Linked DNA regions of Macaca fascicularis. Each later gene encodes a partner of the first gene's protein in a complex. Links are inferred from orthologs where the notes say so. Each region holds a gene or a part of one and is shown in the gene's direction. Other genes may lie near its edges. The genes, in order: DNA polymerase delta catalytic subunit and POLD4.

What was found.
Region 2: DNA polymerase delta catalytic subunit (region 1) and POLD4 share a complex: the UniProt entries of both Homo sapiens proteins name them as parts of the tetrameric DNA polymerase delta complex. The link is inferred for Macaca fascicularis from reciprocal best matches to the Homo sapiens genes POLD1 and POLD4.

What each region holds. Positions count from the first base shown.
Region 1 is NC_088393.1:58,312,605-58,320,370, forward strand, and holds part of DNA polymerase delta catalytic subunit, read left to right. Parts: intron 1-516; exon of another isoform or gene 517-531; coding exon of another isoform or gene 532-570; intron 571-685; exon of another isoform or gene 686-876; intron 877-900; exon of another isoform or gene 901-1,017; coding exon of another isoform or gene 1,018-1,092; intron 1,093-1,711; coding exon 1,712-1,852; intron 1,853-1,945; coding exon 1,946-2,056; intron 2,057-2,523; coding exon 2,524-2,715; intron 2,716-2,867; coding exon 2,868-2,956; intron 2,957-3,874; coding exon 3,875-3,991; intron 3,992-4,213; coding exon 4,214-4,327; intron 4,328-4,610; coding exon 4,611-4,758; intron 4,759-7,766. UniProt on the Homo sapiens protein: As the catalytic component of the trimeric (Pol-delta3 complex) and tetrameric DNA polymerase delta complexes (Pol-delta4 complex), plays a crucial role in high fidelity genome replication, including in lagging strand synthesis, and repair.
Region 2 is NC_088388.1:7,020,585-7,028,797, forward strand, and holds POLD4 (DNA polymerase delta subunit 4), read left to right. Parts: upstream 1-3,731; 5' UTR 3,732-3,867; coding exon 3,868-3,964; intron 3,965-4,181; coding exon 4,182-4,271; intron 4,272-4,461; coding exon 4,462-4,573; intron 4,574-5,248; coding exon 5,249-5,273; coding exon of another isoform or gene 5,274-5,313; 3' UTR 5,314-5,720; downstream 5,721-8,213. UniProt on the Homo sapiens protein: As a component of the tetrameric DNA polymerase delta complex (Pol-delta4), plays a role in high fidelity genome replication and repair.

The sequences.
Region 1 (7,766 bases):
TCCTTTTTTTTTTTTTTGGAGACGGAGTCTCACTCTGTCGCCCAGGCTGGAGTGCAGTGGCGTGATCTCGGCTCACTGCAAGCTCCACCTCCCGGGTTCACGCCATTCTCCTGCCTCAGCCTCCCAAGTAGCTGGGACTACAAGTGTCCACCACCACACCCGGCTAATTTTTTATATTTTTAGTTGAGACGGGGTTTCACCATGTTAGCCAGGATGGTCTTGATCTCCTGACCTCGTGATCCGCCCGCCTCGGCCTCCCACAGTGCTGGGATTACAGGCATGAGCCACCGCTCCCGGCCCTTTTTTTTTTTTTTTTTTGAGGTGGAGTCTTGCTGTGTCACCCAGGCTGGAGTGCGATGGAGCGATTGAGGCTCACTGCAACTCCGCCTCCCAGGTTCAAGTGATTCTTCTGTGTCGGCCTCCCGGGTTGCTGGGATTACAGGCTCATGCCACCACACTCCGCTAATTTTTGCCTTTTTGTTGTTGTTTCTTGAGACAGAATTTCACTCTTGTTGCCCAGGCTGGAGTGCAATGGCACAATCTCGGCTCACCACAACCTCCACCTTCCAGGTTCAAGCAATTCTCCTGCCTCAGCCTCCCAAATAGCTGGGATTATAGGCACCCACCTCCATGCGCGGCTAATTTTATATTCTTAGTAGAGACAGGGTTTCTCCATGTTGACCAGGCTGATCTCAAACTCCCGATCTGAGGTGATCTGCCCACTTCAGCCTCCCAAAGTGCTGCGATTACCAGTGCACCTGGCCCACATGTCCTCTTTGTATAGTGACACCGTCATGGATGAGTGCCCACCCCAGTGACCTCATCTTCGCTTGACCCCCTGCAAAGACATATTTCCAAATTAGGTTATATTCTGAGGTACTGGGGGTTAGGACTTCAACATCTTTTGGGAGAACATGGTTCAGCCCTTAATAGGGTATATTGCCTTATTTTCCTGCTTTTCTCTATGTCTGGCCAGCTTGGTAATGGAAAAACAAAACAGGCTGGGTGTGGTGGCTCATGCCTGTAATCCCAGCACTTTGGGAGGATGAGGCGAGAGGATCGATTGAGCCCAGGAGTTCAAGACCAGCCAGGGTAACATAACAAGACTCTGTTTCTATTAAAGAGGAAAAAAGAAAAAATCCATTCTAAAAGACAGAACAAACTGTTAGGACCCCCAGTGGCTCCAGCTGTACATTCCACAGTGTGGCACTGATGCCCGGGCCACTGCCTCCTCCTCCCCTTCCCTGGATGCCCCTCACCCTCTGCCCTGGCCCCAGCTCAGGCTTCTTCTGGCCTGTCTCCCCCAGGCTGGGCCCCAGCACCCTGCAAGGCGCCCTCAGCATCCATCTCAGCCCAGCTCAACGTCACCTCCTACCTCTGCCCCAACCTGGCCGCCTGCTCACAGTTTCCCCAAATCTTTTCCTGTTTCCTGCCTAGGTGCAGCCCGCAGACACTGGGCTCCGTCCTTGGCCCCCAGTCCATGCGGGCCCCTGACTCTCCCTGTCCCAGCCCCGAATGCAGCTTCGTCCTCCCTCCGGACTCCCTCCTCAGCCTTCAGCCCCCCACACCCAGCCCGAGACTCTTTCTGTCCCCGGGGTTGCTCTCGACCCCCGAGGGTTGCTATAAGGAGGTTGTGGTCGGTCTCGATCTCCGTTCCTCTGGCTGATGTGACACTGGGGACCCGCTGCATACCCTGCCTCTCCCCCGCCAGGTACAAACATTCCCTTTCCTGGGCCGTGTGGCCGGCCTTCGCTCCAACATCCGGGACTCATCATTCCAGTCCAAGCAGACGGGCCGGCGGGACACCAAGGTGGTTAGCATGGTGGGCCGTGTGCAGATGGACATGCTGCAGGTACAGCTGGGCCAGGCGGGAGGAGGGGTGTGTCCCTGTCCTCGGGAGGCCACTGCCCAGGCCTGTAGCCGAGCAGCCCATCCACCCACCTAGGTGCTGCTGCGGGAGTACAAGCTCCGCTCCTACACGCTCAATGCCGTGAGCTTCCACTTCCTGGGCGAGCAGAAGGAGGATGTGCAGCACAGCATCATCACCGACCTGCAGGTGCCTGCTGCCTCCCTGACCTCTCCCCCCGACCTCTGACCTCTGACCCCCACCTCACCCTTCCCCAGCCCCTGACCTCAACTTCACACCCCCACGTCTGACTTCACTTTTTGACCCGCTGTTATGACCTGTGACCTTACCTGCCACCCACCTTTTTCTGACCTCAGACCCCAGATTTCTCTCCACTCCTGTAACCTGTTACTATGACCTTGGCTCCGCTTTCCAGGCCTGATCACAGGTCCACAATGGTCTTCAGGCTGCTCCCTCCTCCTCCCTCTGACCCTGTGGACTCCCTGACCCCCAACACTACCTCCATCCCCACCCAGACCTTGATAGCTTGGAGGCTGCCCCTGCCCGGCCCTCCCAGGCCCTCTCCAGGCTACCTCACCCTGACCCCCACTTCATCGTCCTGCGCCGCCTCCCACCCCCAACTCCTGGTCCCTGACCCCATCTGTGCCCATCCCCAGAATGGGAACGACCAGACCCGCCGCCGCCTGGCCGTGTACTGCCTGAAGGACGCCTATCTGCCGCTGCGGCTGCTGGAGCGGCTCATGGTGCTGGTGAACGCCGTGGAGATGGCGAGGGTCACTGGCGTGCCCCTCAGCTACCTGCTCAGCCGTGGTCAGCAGGTCAAGGTCGTATCCCAGCTATTGCGGCAGGTCAGTAGCCGAGACCTGTCCTCACCACTCCCCACCAGGCACGTCTCTGGTCCCCTCCCGGCGATGGCATCCTGGATGCACTTTTTCTCCCCGCTCCCAATCCTCACGGCCCCACCTATACCCACTCCGTTTTCCACCTTCTCCCCTCCCAGGCCATGCACGAGGGGCTGCTGATGCCCGTGGTGAGGTCGGAGGGCGGTGAGGACTACACGGGAGCCACTGTCATCGAGCCCCTCAAAGGGTGAGGCCCCAGGCTGGGTGCAGTTTGTACCTGTAATCTCTAGGAGGCTGAGGTGGGAGGATCACTTGAGCTCAGGAGTTTGAGAACAGCCGGGGCAACATAGTGAGATCCCTGCCCCACAAAAAATTTTTTAAATGAGCCAGGCCCACGGTGGCTCACGCCTGTAATTCCCACACTTTGGGAGGCCGAGGCGGGCGGATCACGAGGTCAGGAGATCAAGACCATCCTAACACTATGAAACCCTGTCTCTACTAAAAATACAAAAAAATTAGCCGGGCGTGGTGGCAGGCGCCTGTAATACCAGCTACTCTGGAGGCTGAGGCAGGAGAATGGTGTGAACCCGGTGGTGGAGCTTGCAGTGAACTGAGATCCGGCCACTGCACTCCAGCCTGGGCGACAGAGTGAGACTCCGTCTCAAAAAAAAAAAAAAAACAAAAAAACAAAATAATAATAAAATAAATAAATAAAATAAAAGAGTAGATTAATTCATTTTATATATATTTTATTTTTTTATTTTTATTTTTTTGAGGCAAGGTCTCACTCTGTTACCCATGATGGAGTGCAGTGGCACCATCTTGGCTTACTCCACCTCCCAGGCTCAAGCGATCCTCCTGCTTCCGGCCCCTGAGTAGCTGGGACCACAGGCATGCACCACCACACCTAGCTAATTTTTTAAAATTTTTTGTAGACATGGGGATTTGCCATGTTGCCCAGGCTGGTCTGGAACCCCTGAGTTCAAGCGATCCTCCTGCCTCAGCCTCCCAAAGTGCTGGGATTACAGGAGGGAGCACTGCTCCCAGCCAATGAATGATTTTTTTTTTTTTTTTTTTTTTTTAAAGGGTGAGGCCACAAGACAGGGCAGGGGGCGGCATGGGAACTTCTAGCCCTGACTCCCCACCGTGGCTGCTCCCCTCCCAGGTACTACGATGTCCCCATCGCCACCCTGGACTTCTCCTCGCTGTACCCGTCCATCATGATGGCCCACAACCTGTGCTACACCACGCTCCTGCGGCCCGGGGCTGCGCAGAAACTGGGGTATGGTGCCCAATTCAGCACGTGTCCCCCGAGGCCCACCGGGGCCCTCCCTTGAGGGGCTGAGTCTGGCGGGGGGAGATAGGCACAGGCCCAGAGATAGTGGGGAGTGAAGGGTTGCTTGAGGGGCCTGCATGTGCTCATGGCCAAGGCCAGGACCGTAGGGCAGAGGTGGGGCTGGAGGAGGAGGGTGACCGGCAGTCACCCCGCTGTCTTCCAACCCAGCCTGACTGAGGATCAGTTCATCAAGACGCCCACCGGGGACGAGTTTGTGAAGACCTCAGTGCGGAAGGGGCTGCTGCCCCAGATCCTGGAGAACCTGCTCAGCGCCCGGAAGAGGTGAGCCCTGGAGATCCCCTGCTTGGAGCTCAGACCTGCTGGGGCCTCTGGGCAATCCCTGTCCCTCACTGGGACACCCCAGGGCTGTCCGGCCACCCTGCCCACAGCTGTGTGTGAATTAGCACACGGCATCCCCTCCTGGCAGCTTCCTTTCGCCCCCTTGGCCAAAAGCTTCTGTGCAGTGCACAGCACGCCCAACTGTACATGGCACCCACTTCCAGAAAGGAGCCCTGACCAGTGCCCGGGCGCCACCTGAGTGTGCTTTACCTGTGTTCCCTCGCAGGGCCAAGGCCGAGCTGGCCAAGGAGACAGACCCCCTGCGGCGCCAGGTCCTGGATGGACGGCAGCTGGCGCTGAAGGTGAGCGCCAACTCCGTATATGGCTTCACCGGCGCCCAGGTGGGCAAGTTGCCATGCCTGGAGATCTCACAGGTGAGCACTCAGGCCCCTGGCAGGCAACTGGGGGCAGGTGGGCCCCCTGTGTAGGAGACCAGGGCTCCATGTTGGGGACCTGTATCCAGAGGACTGGACACCCCAACTCACTGGCCTTCTAGAGAGAGGATGCCAGCGTGGCTTGAGCAATTGGTCCATTCATTCACTCAGCAAATGCCTCCTGAGCACACACTGGTCAGGGCTCTGTGCCCTGGGGATACAGAGGGGGACACAGTGGATGAGAGTCCCTTTCCCTGTCAGCTCGCAGCCCAGTGGGGACACTGACAGGTCCGTGGTAAATGTGTTCAGGACACAAGTGGAGCTACAAGCTTTGCAGCCGGATAAAGCGGGAGGTGTGGACTTGGCGGGGAGTGATGGGGCTGGGCAGGACTCACCACTCTCAGTAGGCAGCACTCACGCAGAGGCCAAGGGACGTGGGGAGGGAAGCCATTCACCGTCCTCACGGCAGCATCCCGGCCTGCCTACCCACGGCAGCTCTGCTGCTTGGACAGAAAAACAGATTCTTTGAAAGCACAGAGGGCCTGAGTTTCCAAGACTTTGCCAAGCTGGGGTCAGTGCCTCAGCTCCTGGCATCTGAGGACCTCGGAAGGGTCTTCCTGTCCAGCCTTCTCCACTGGGACTTGGGTCTTGGCCCATTCCAGGCCAGTAGCTGTGCCGCTCTGCTTGGTTACCTCTAGCCACGGGGAACTCCCTCCCTGGCTGGGCACTGCGTCAGTTTTCACAGGGCTCTGGGTGGAAGGCTTAGATGAATTCTCAGTGGGTGGGGCCTTTGCACACACACACCCACCCGCAGTTCTGGGGCCCAAAGACCACTCAGGTTCAGTGATTCACTAGAAGTACTCAGAGAGCTCAGAAAAGCTGGTTCTCATGGCTATGATTTAATACAGCGAAAGGACACAGATTAAACTCAGCAAAGGAAAGAGGTGCACAGGGCAGGGTGTCGGAGGGACCAGGCGTGTCTTCCAGTTGTGCTCTCCCAGTAGAGTTACGGGATGGCCCTCCTTTCTCCTAGCGTTGATGCATGGCCACACACACGCAGCATTGCCAACCCGAGGCTCTCACCCAAGCTTTGGGGTCCAGGGTTTTTCTTGGGTGTCATTCCTGTAGGCATGGAGCACCCTGTGACTGGCCGTAGTGACTCCATCATCCCCAGGCCCCTCAGCAACCCCCAGAGGTCAAACTGATACTGCATGGCCCAGGGCTTCACCATAAACCATGTTAGTGCCAACTGCCTGGTGTGGTTCAAAGTCGCAGGTACACAGACACCTTTTTTTTTTTTTTTTTTTTTTTTTTTTTGAGACAGTCTCACTCTGTCACCCAGGCTGGAGTGCAGTGGCACAGTCACGGGCTCATGGCAGCCTCAACCTCCCGGACTCAAGTGAGCCTCCCACCTTAGCCTCCCAAGTGGCTGGAACTGCAGGCACGCACCACCTATTTTTGTTATTTTTTGTAGAGATGGGGTCTCACCATGTTGCCCAGGCTGGAACAGAGACAATGTTATCAGGCAGGATATTCTAGGGGCTTCGACTTCCAGGAGCCAGGCAAGAGCCAGACCTTTCTTTGCACAAAGTGAATCGCTCACTGCATGCCCCCAACTGCCCTCCGCCTTTCACAGTCCCCAGCTGCCTCCCCAGCCTCTTCGTGGAAGGGGGTGGCTGTGTGGACATCAGGCTCCAGCCCTGAAGCAGAGGCCAGGCCAAGAGAGCACGGTTTGGCCCTCCCCTGGGACTGCCTCTTACCAATCTGGTGTCTCTGTCTTTTCTCTCTCAGCTGCTTCCCTCTGTCACTGTTCTGTTTCTGTCTCTTGACCTCTTTCCTTATTTCTGTCTCTCAAGCTTATGGGAGCAAGAGGTGGAATAATAAAAATGCAGTGGGCCAGGCGCAGTGGCTCACACCTGTAATCCCAGCGCTTTAGGAGGCCAAGGCAGGCGGATCACGAGGTCAGGAGTTCAAGACCAGCCTGGCTAGGCCGGGCGCGGTGGCTCAAGCCTGTAATCCCAGCACTTTGGGAGGCCGAGACGGGCGGATCACGAGGTCAGGAGATCAAGACCATCCTGGCTAACACGGTGAAACCCCGTCTCTACTAAAAATACAAAAAATTAGCCAGGAATGGTGGCAGATGCCTGTAATCCCAGCTACTCAGGAGGCTGAGGTGGGACAATTGCTTGAACCCGGGAGGCGGAGCTTACAGTGTGCCAAGGTTGCACCACTGCACTCCAGCCTAGGCAACAGAGCGAAACACCGTCTCAAAAAAAAAAAAAAAAATGATAATAATAATAATAATAATAATGAATCACAGTGGTTCACGCCTGTAATCCCAACACTTTGTGACACTGAGGAGGGAGGATCACTTGAGGCCAGGGGTTGGATACCAGCCTGGGCAACATAGTGAAGCCCTGTCTCTACAAAAAATACAACCAAACAAAACCAGGCAGGCGTGGTGGTGGCTCATGCCTAGAGTTGCAGCTACTCAGGAGGCTGAGATGGGAAGATGACTTGAACCCAGCAGTTTGAGTTACAGTGAGCTCTGATGGCATCACTGCACCCCATTCTGGGTGACAGAGTTGAGACCCTGTCTCTTTTAGTTTTTGTTTGTGTATTTTGAGATGGAGTCTCGCTCTGTCGCCCAGGCTAGAGTGCAGTGGCGCAATCTTGGCTCACTGCAACCTCTGCCTCCCAGGTTTAAGTGATTCTCCTGCCTCAGCCTCCTGAGTAGCTGGGATCACAGGTGCCTGCCACCACGCCTGGCTAATTTTTGTATTTTTAGTAGAGATGGGGTTTCACCATGTTGGCCAGGCTGGTCTTGAACTCCTGACCTCAGGTGATCCACCTGCCTCAGCCTTCCAAAGTGCTGGGATTACAGGTGTGAGTCACCACGCTTGGCCTCCTGTTTCTTAAAAAAAAAAAAAAGAAAGAAAAAGAAATATTGAATCATTTCAGGAGTCTCTTAAAAAAAAATACTGAATGATTTCAGGAAAAGATTACAA
Region 2 (8,213 bases), on another chromosome or scaffold:
GGGGGCAGTGGCAGTGAGGCCGATCTGGCAGAAAGCTGTAGGGCCCGAGTTCCAGTTCTTTTTCCAGTCTCAACTTTCAGGGTGCCTCAGCCTTGCCAGTTCAGCAGTCAGCTCTAGGCTCCTCCCCAACTTGCCCAGATCTCTCTCTGAGGCCAGGCTGATGGGGTGGAAATGGTTAACTAGAACCTTCCTCCCACCCAACTGGGCAAAGTCTGACACCTGGTGGCCAAGGTGAGGAATGGCCAGAAGGCCCCTTTTCAAGTCTTCCCAGAACTGCTCCAGAGCCTGGATGGCCAAAGTGAAAGAGGAGGTGACTACAGAAGGATGTGTGGAGGGTGGTAGGAGCAGGACAGAAGACAGCAGTGACAAAAAAAACCCAGAGACTCCTTCCTCTGCCCTCAAGCTGCTGCCATGGAAGCACATTAGGCCAGAGAACCTGGACCAGGAGAAGAGGGAGTGTCTGGGAGGGTAGTGAGGGGCCAGGAATGACTGCCTAAAAGGATTCTGGCCCACAGGGTGAGGAATGGGGCCCACGGGGTGTGAGTATGTTGGGGGCGGGGCCAGGGGTATTCTGGCTGCCCAGAATCTCCTGAGTGGGACTGACTTCCAGCTCAGGGTAGGTGGCAGAGCCCAAGGGCCTGAGGAAGGAGGGTACCGGCGAGAGGGAAGAAGAGCTGGATCCATCCCACAGCCCACTGGGCCCCAGGCAGCTGCTCCCCTCTCTCCACCTGCCTCCACCTTCCCAGCTCTACCTTGCTCTCCCCACAAACCTCATGGTGATGAGGGGGAAGGGAATGCAGGCACAGTGCTGAGGCCCCCATCCTGCCACATTGTCTGAGCTAAGCCGGACCTAATCCTTCTTCCCTTGAGTGCAGTCAGCGGTGGGCCTCATCCCCTGGGAAGGTGCTGGGTTCCTGTTTCAGTTCTTTTCTCTCCTGGACCCCCAGGACTCTGGACTTGGCCCTGAAGCAAGGGTGTTGGGTATTATTACCAGGCTGAGGTGCAAAGGTCACTCCTACTAGTCTCATCACCAGCCTCTGGGTGTCCGGGCTGACATAAGGGTCTCAGGACATTCCCGCAGGGAGAGAGAACTCAGCACCCAACCCAGACCTCTGGCCTGGCCATCCAGCCTGAAGCCTGAACAGGCTCCAGGACAGCAGTTTAGGGAATGAGGCCAGGATGCTGCCTGAGTAGGGGAAGGGATTCTAGGCAAGAAGGTACAGAAGGTGGATAGGGTTGGAGAGCAAAGAAGGAAAAAGACCTGAGGATGGAAAGGCCAAGGTCCAGCCTAGTCAGCTGTGCACCTTAGGAATCCAGGTGCTGAGTCAGGGAATGCCAGTTGGACAGGGATGGTTCCAAAATCCCTAGGTGCCAACTCTTCCCTGGGGGCCCAACCCCACTGCCATTTAGGAGAGAACAGCAATGCTGCTTGCAGAGAGTTCCCTCAACTCCAAGCCAGAAAGCCAGGCCTAGGGTGCCTGCACTTGAGCTGACCACTCTGAATCTTTTTCTTGGGTCTGGGGGTAGCTGAAGGCTGAGGGAGACATCTTCCAGGCTGGGTGGGTGCCTGAGCCAGGCAAAGCTGGGGAAGCTGGCGGGGACAGCCCAGCCAACATCTACAGAGTAGCTCAGGATGCCAGAGGCTACCCAAGGAGAAAAGGCAATAGTCCCAGGCGGCGGCAGGAGCTGCTGTGGCTGCCCAGCAGCACACCCCATTTCACGCTCCCTGGGCGGTGGCAGGGCCCCACGGCTATCAGCTTTCAGGGGTAGGAGGGACTTGGGAATGAGGAGGGGTCTGCCCCACCCATGGCTCCCTATCCCTCAGGGCTTGGACTCAGGAGGTGGGTGCCACACACCTCTAGAAACAGCCCAGGAACCCTTGCTGAGGCCCTCTGGGGAGGGGGTAATCAATCCCCCAGAGCCTATATGCCATCCCTACCTAGCATACTCAGTGCCTGACTGGACTCAGCACCTAGGCCCTCCCCAGCCCTGGTAGAGAGGGCCTCCCTGCTTCCATCCCCAACTCCGCAAGGACACTGTCTCCCTGAATGTGGGCCCCACTTAGTTCACAAGGCAGATGGGGGGATTAGAATAGGCCCAGCCCAAACAATACAGCAGAAAGGGCCCTCCAGCTCCATGCAGTGCCCTGACAAGCTCCCTCCTCCACCAGCCCTCCTCCAGGACGCCGATGGGGGGAGCCAGGCAGGACGTGGACCCTGAAGACATGGCCTGCTCCTGTACTTCCCCTTTGGTGGTCTCCTCTCCAGAGCAGCTTCCTCCCTTGTGCCCACAAGTACCAGTGGCTTAGCCCTCTTCCAGTGCAGAGCACCCAGACCCCAGAGCAGGGAAAGGAGGCGGCAGAGGCTTCTGAGCAGGCGGCAGCCCAGGAGTCTGTGCCCCACCCTCCCAGTATCCCTGGAAGGAAGAACCGGATGGGATCTCTGGAGGGTGATTAGAGCTGGGCTGGTCCCTGTGCTGGTTCCCAGACTCCCACTGGCCAGTACTTTTGCCTCCTGCCAGGAAGTTGATGAGGGGGAGGCAGCAGTATGGATGAGTCAGTGATGACAGGAGCCCAAGGGACAAAGGTCATGGGTGGAGAATTGAGAGACATTGTTTACAGCAGTCCACCTCCTCCAGGAGGCCTTCCAATGCTAATCATCCCTGTGGTCCTAACCAATCTCTGACCCACCCTTTTCCTCTTCTGGTAGGAATTATAGCCTCTCACTGACAACTGTACATCTGTCTGCCTTGTGACAGTGAGCTCCTGGGCCCAAGACAGACTGTGGTTCGACTGGGGCCCTGCAATGCCTGTGACTCTCGGCAGTGATAATCATTGAGCTATACTTCCTACTTTCAAAAACTTTTTGACATCTCTTTTAATTAATATGTGGGAAAGTGCTTAGAACAGTACTTGGCACATGGTATGTGCAACATGAGTGTTAGGTTTACTGTTAATATTTTCTGCTCAGATTCACATTATTGTGAGAGGGCAGATTTTGCCAATGAAGAACTGGGGATCAAAACCCATTGTGGTGGGGGAACCAGACCCTTGCTCTGCCTTCCAGTATGGAATCTTCCTGACTGGTGGGGCGGGTGGGGCAGGACTTGGGACCCCAGGAGAGCCAAAACAGCAAACACTTACTCGGACTAAGAGTGGGCAGCATCTTTGGGCACAGACTGTGAGAAAGGAGGTTTCAGAACCCATGGGCTTCTCCAGCCAGGTCTCCTGGGGCCGGTGGGGGTTGGGTGGGAGCAGGGAAGGGGCCTGGATTAGACCAAACTCTCTTCAGACCTCCAAACCTGCCCCCACAACGCTGGGCGGGCCAAAGGACCGAGTGAAGGCTCCAGCTGGGCTCTAGGGAGTTACAAACTGGCCACGGGGATTAGCGAAGCTGAAAAGAACATTTGCCTAGGAAGGGAAAACGGGAAGTGAGAGGCTGAGGATAACTCTCTTCAAGTCTCTCGGGACCCACAGCAGACCAATGGGGGCCGGGGGAGGTGGTGAAGTAGGGGCATCCTGACAGGTCCCCCGCCCCAGCCTGCCCCTCCTCCCGCAGCCCACAGCTGTGGCACCGCCCCACCCCTCACCCTACACTGCCTACCATTGGCTAGCGCCAGGGCCCCGCCCCACAGAGGCGTCCTGCCATTGGCTGAAGTCTTTCCTGTTTGCGCCCTTGTTGGGGTGGGGGAGGCGTCCCTCCCTGGACCCCAGCGACTTCCTCTCTCGGTTTGTCTGGGTCATCTTGTCTGCCTGCCGCTGGCCTGGCCCCGTCTGTCTCTCTCAGCAGCTGTCTTTCTCGCGCCCACTGGCCGGTCTCTCCTCTTCCCCGCAGTCGCCTCCTTCCTCTGCCTGCCTGGGTGGCCGCCATGGGCCGGAAGCGGCTCATCACTGATTCCTACCCGGTTGTGAAGAGGAGGGAGGGGCCCGCTGGGCACAGCAAGGGGGAGCTGGCATCCGAGCTAGGTCTCTGACGTGTGAGGGAGGCAGGAGGAGTGGACACGGAGGGGCCTAGAGGACGTGGGCAGAGGGGCAGATGGAAGGGGAAAGGTGGCCTGTCCTCCCCTCCCGACACCAGGTCTAGCTGCGGGGTGGCAGAGGCAAAGGGGTGGTGAGGAAGGCTGGGAGGTGAGGGGCAGGAGACTGAGGCCAGCCTCGCACTGAAGAGCAGCTGTCATTGCAGGGGAGGAGCCCCAGCCCCGCGACGAGGAGGAAGCGGAGCTGGAGCTGCTGAGGCAGTTTGACCTGGCCTGGCAGTACGGGCCCTGCACCGGTGAGAACCCACCCAGCCCCACGGAGGTGCCTCTCCCAGCCAGTCCCGTCACCCACACGTCTCTGAAGTCACCCAAGCGCTTGCGTGACTCTGACCCTCAGGCACTGTCTCCCCTGAACACACACATTCTCCAGCTCAGACTCTACCCCACCCCCAACAAGGCTCCAGAGTCTTCTTCCTACCCTGGCAGGGATCACACGGCTGCAGCGCTGGTGTCGGGCCAAGCAGATGGGCTTGGAGCCTCCCCCAGAGGTGTGGGAGGTGCTGAAGACCCACCCCGGAGACCCCCGCTTCCAGTGCAGGTCAGAGACAGGCCGGGAGGGCTTTCAGGGGAGCCAGGGCCTTCTCCAGGCACCGTCACCCTGCTCTCCTGACCTGAGGGAGAAATGGATGGAGGGTTGAAGGGCCTTGCTGAACAGGCAAGAAGGAGGACACGCTACTGTAATAATTCTTTTTTTTTTTTGACACAGAGTCTCGCTCTGTCGCCCAGGCTGGAGTGTAGTGGCGCGATCTTGGCTCACTGCAAGCTCCGCCTCCCGGGTTCCCGCCATTCTCCTGCCTCAGCCTCCCGAGTAGCTGGGACTACAGGCGCCCGCCACCACGCCCGGCTAATTTTGTTTTTGTATTTTTAGTAGAGATGGGGTTTCACTGTGTTAGCCAGGATGGTCTTGATCTCCTGACCTCGTGATCCACCCGCCTCGACCTCCCAAAGTGCTGGGATTACAGGCATGAGCCACCGCACCCGGCCAATAATTCTTACCTCCACAAGCTAGTCGGGGGCAAAGGTACACCCAGGAACCAAGGAACTATCTATTTAGAACCAAGGGGTTTCCCAAGGACTATGGGCATGGCCAAGAATAGCTGGTGAAATCAGATCCAGGGACTCAACAACTGACCCTTTCTCTCTCTCTCTCTCTCTCTCTCTCTCTTTCTCTCTCTCTCTGGGATATCCCTCCCTCCCACCCCATCTTCTACAGCCTCTGGCATCTCTATCCCCTATGAGGCACCACGTATGACCTCCTGCCCTTGGCTCTCTTGCTAATCACCCAAGAATCTCAGGACAGAAGCAAGAGCCCATTGCTCCTGCTCAGCTCAGCCCCGCTGCGGAGGAACCCTTGGCAGGCAGAACCTGGAGGTGTCAGAGGCTCAACTCCTCCATCTAACCAGCAGGCTCTCAGAGCCCCCCTGGAAGAGCCTGTGCAGCTGAAGCAGAGTGCTTCTAGATGGAGAGTGGTCACTGGGGAAAAGGACCTGGCCATCACCTTCCAGTACCTGCTGCCTGTCTCCCTGACCCATGGTGTGGCAAGTTAGGCACAGCCAGACGTGGACAGTTGATCCATGAGGCAAAGATGCTGTCCCACCTATGGCTAGGAATCAGAGCAGGACTGGCTGAGCTCCCAGGGCAAGGGGTTCACTAATGCTTACCAATAAAGAATATTAAGCCTGGAATCCTGACCTTCAGTCCTTTACTGTGGCCCTGCTTTGACTGGCAGTCCCTAGCAAGTTAGGAGATGGGAGAACCACCACCACAGTTCTTTTCCTTCAAGAAAGTCCTAGGCCTGAGAGGAAGAAGACATAGACAGCTTAAGAGACGGATCAAGTCCTCTAAGAGCTGAGCGACCTCTGGTGCCCCCTGGTGGCCCACAGGGAAACTACTCACGACTCACCTTCCTGGAGCAGCCAGGAAAAACCTACCTGACCCGCCAGCCACCTGGCTTGCTAAGCAGTGCCCACTTCACAAACATGGGTGCTTTGCCAGAGAAGGACCTTTGGGGTCCATGGCGCATGAAGTCCAAACATATCTATACATTCCCAGCAAGCACCTCAGGCTTCCCACATCAGGGACCACCTTGATCAAAGCAGGGCTGGGGAGGGTCTCAACTTGCAGGACCTGCTCAGACATGGCCATCATCTGAGGGGCTTTGGTAAGAAATTGATGGCTGGGCATGGTGGCTCACGCCTGTAATTCCAGCACTTTGGGAGGCCCAGGCGGGCGGATCACGAGGTCAAGAGATGGAGACCATCATGGCTAACAAGGTGAAACCCTGTCTCTACTAAAAATACAAAAAATTAGCCGGGTGTGGTGACAAGCGCCTGTAGTTCCAGCTACTCAGAAGGCTGAGGCAGGAGAATGGTGTGAACCCGGGAGGCAGAGCTGGCAGTGAGCTGATACTGTGCCACTGCACTCCAGCCTGGGTGACAGAGGGAGACTCCTCAAAAAAAAAAAAAAAAAAAAAAAAAAAAAAAAAAAAGGCTGGGCACAGTGGCTCACGCCTATAATCCCAGCACTTTGGGAGGCCAAGGCGGATGGATCACGAGGTCAAGAGATCGAGACTATCCTGGCTAACACGGTGAAACCCCATCTCTACTAAAAATACAAAAAATTAGCCGGGCATGGTGGCGGGCGCCTGTAGTCCCAGCTACTTGAGAGGCTGAGGCAGAAGAATGGCATGAACCCAGGAAGCGGAGCTTGCAGTGAGCCGAGATCACACCACTGCACTCCAGCCTGGGCAACTAAGCAAGACTCTGTCTCAAAAAAAAAGAAAAAAGAAACTGACGGTGCTGGGGGATGGAGAACTGGCTGGAGCCAGAAACAATGCTCAGGAGACCCGGGGTCAGGGTATGACATGGAGAATAGAGTCAGTAACTGCTTCTGTAGCATTACCTTCATCTACTGTAGCAGCCCTCCATCCTGGGGGCAGATGGAGGCAGCACTAGTAACTTGTTGGAAACAGGCCTAGAGAGCAGCTAAGTGGCCTGCGTAGCCCCTGTCTTACTGAGCACTGATCATGTTTCGGGTACTTTAAATGTATTATCTCGAATCCTCCTAAAAAACCTTCCAGGTAAGTTTTACCGAGAGGGGAACTGAAACTAAGAAAGGTTAAGTAAAGTTGTCCAAAAGCACACAGCAGGCAAGAGGCAGTGCAGTGACCAGGGGCCACTTGCATTAAGCTCTTCCAGTCTATGCCACAGCTCCCACCCAGCTGCTGAGCACTCACTATGTGCCAGGCACCAAAGGTCCCCTTGGGGTGTTACTAATGGTCAGGAGATGGACAAAAACAAACACGTAAGTTAATTATGTCAGGTAGCAGTCAGTAGTAAGCAAAATCAGAGTTGAGATCAGAAAGGGTCCAAGGATGCCAGGGCGCTATGTTAGAGAGACTGGTCAGGGAAGGCCCTCTGCTAAGGTGGCATTTGAGCAGAGACCTGAAGAAAGGAAGGGAGCAAGGTCTGCACCTGAGTGTTCCAGACAGAAGGAGCAACAAGGAGAAGCTCCCTGAGGGAGGAGTGTTTCCAGCCTGTTCCAGGAAAGGCACTGAGGAGGCCAGTGAGGCTGGGGCCCAGGGAGCAAGGAAGGGTAGTGGGAATTGAGAGAAGACAGGCAACAGGCTGGTCCCTAGGGCCATGATAAGAAATCTGGATTTGATTCTGAGTGAGAGGGGAAGATACTGGAGGGCTTGAGGTCAATAAATGACAGAGTCAGCTGATGTTTAGAAAACATTACTCTGTTGGTGGAAAACAAGATTGTGGAGCTGGGGAAAACAGAGGTAGCAAAACCACTCAGGAGGCCTCTGAAGTTGGCCTCATGAGAGTTGAGCTTGATCTGGACCAGCATGAGGAGGTGAAGTGGCCAGGTACACTCTGTATTTTGAAGGAAGAGCTGACTGGCAGGACTTGCCTATAGGACTGTGGGATTTAAGAGGCAGGAGCCAAGGATAACTCCAAAGGTTTTGGTTTGGGTGACTGGAAGGACAGAGTTCTCATTACTAAGATGGGAAAACTTGTGGGAAGGGTGGGGTGGGAATCTGGAGATCCATCTTAGACATGCTGAAGTATCTGTGCCACTTCCAAGGGGACACGGGGTATAGGCAGTGGATATGTAAGTCTCGGATTCTGAGGCATTCTAGGTTTAAAATATAAACTTGGGAATCTTTTAGATGG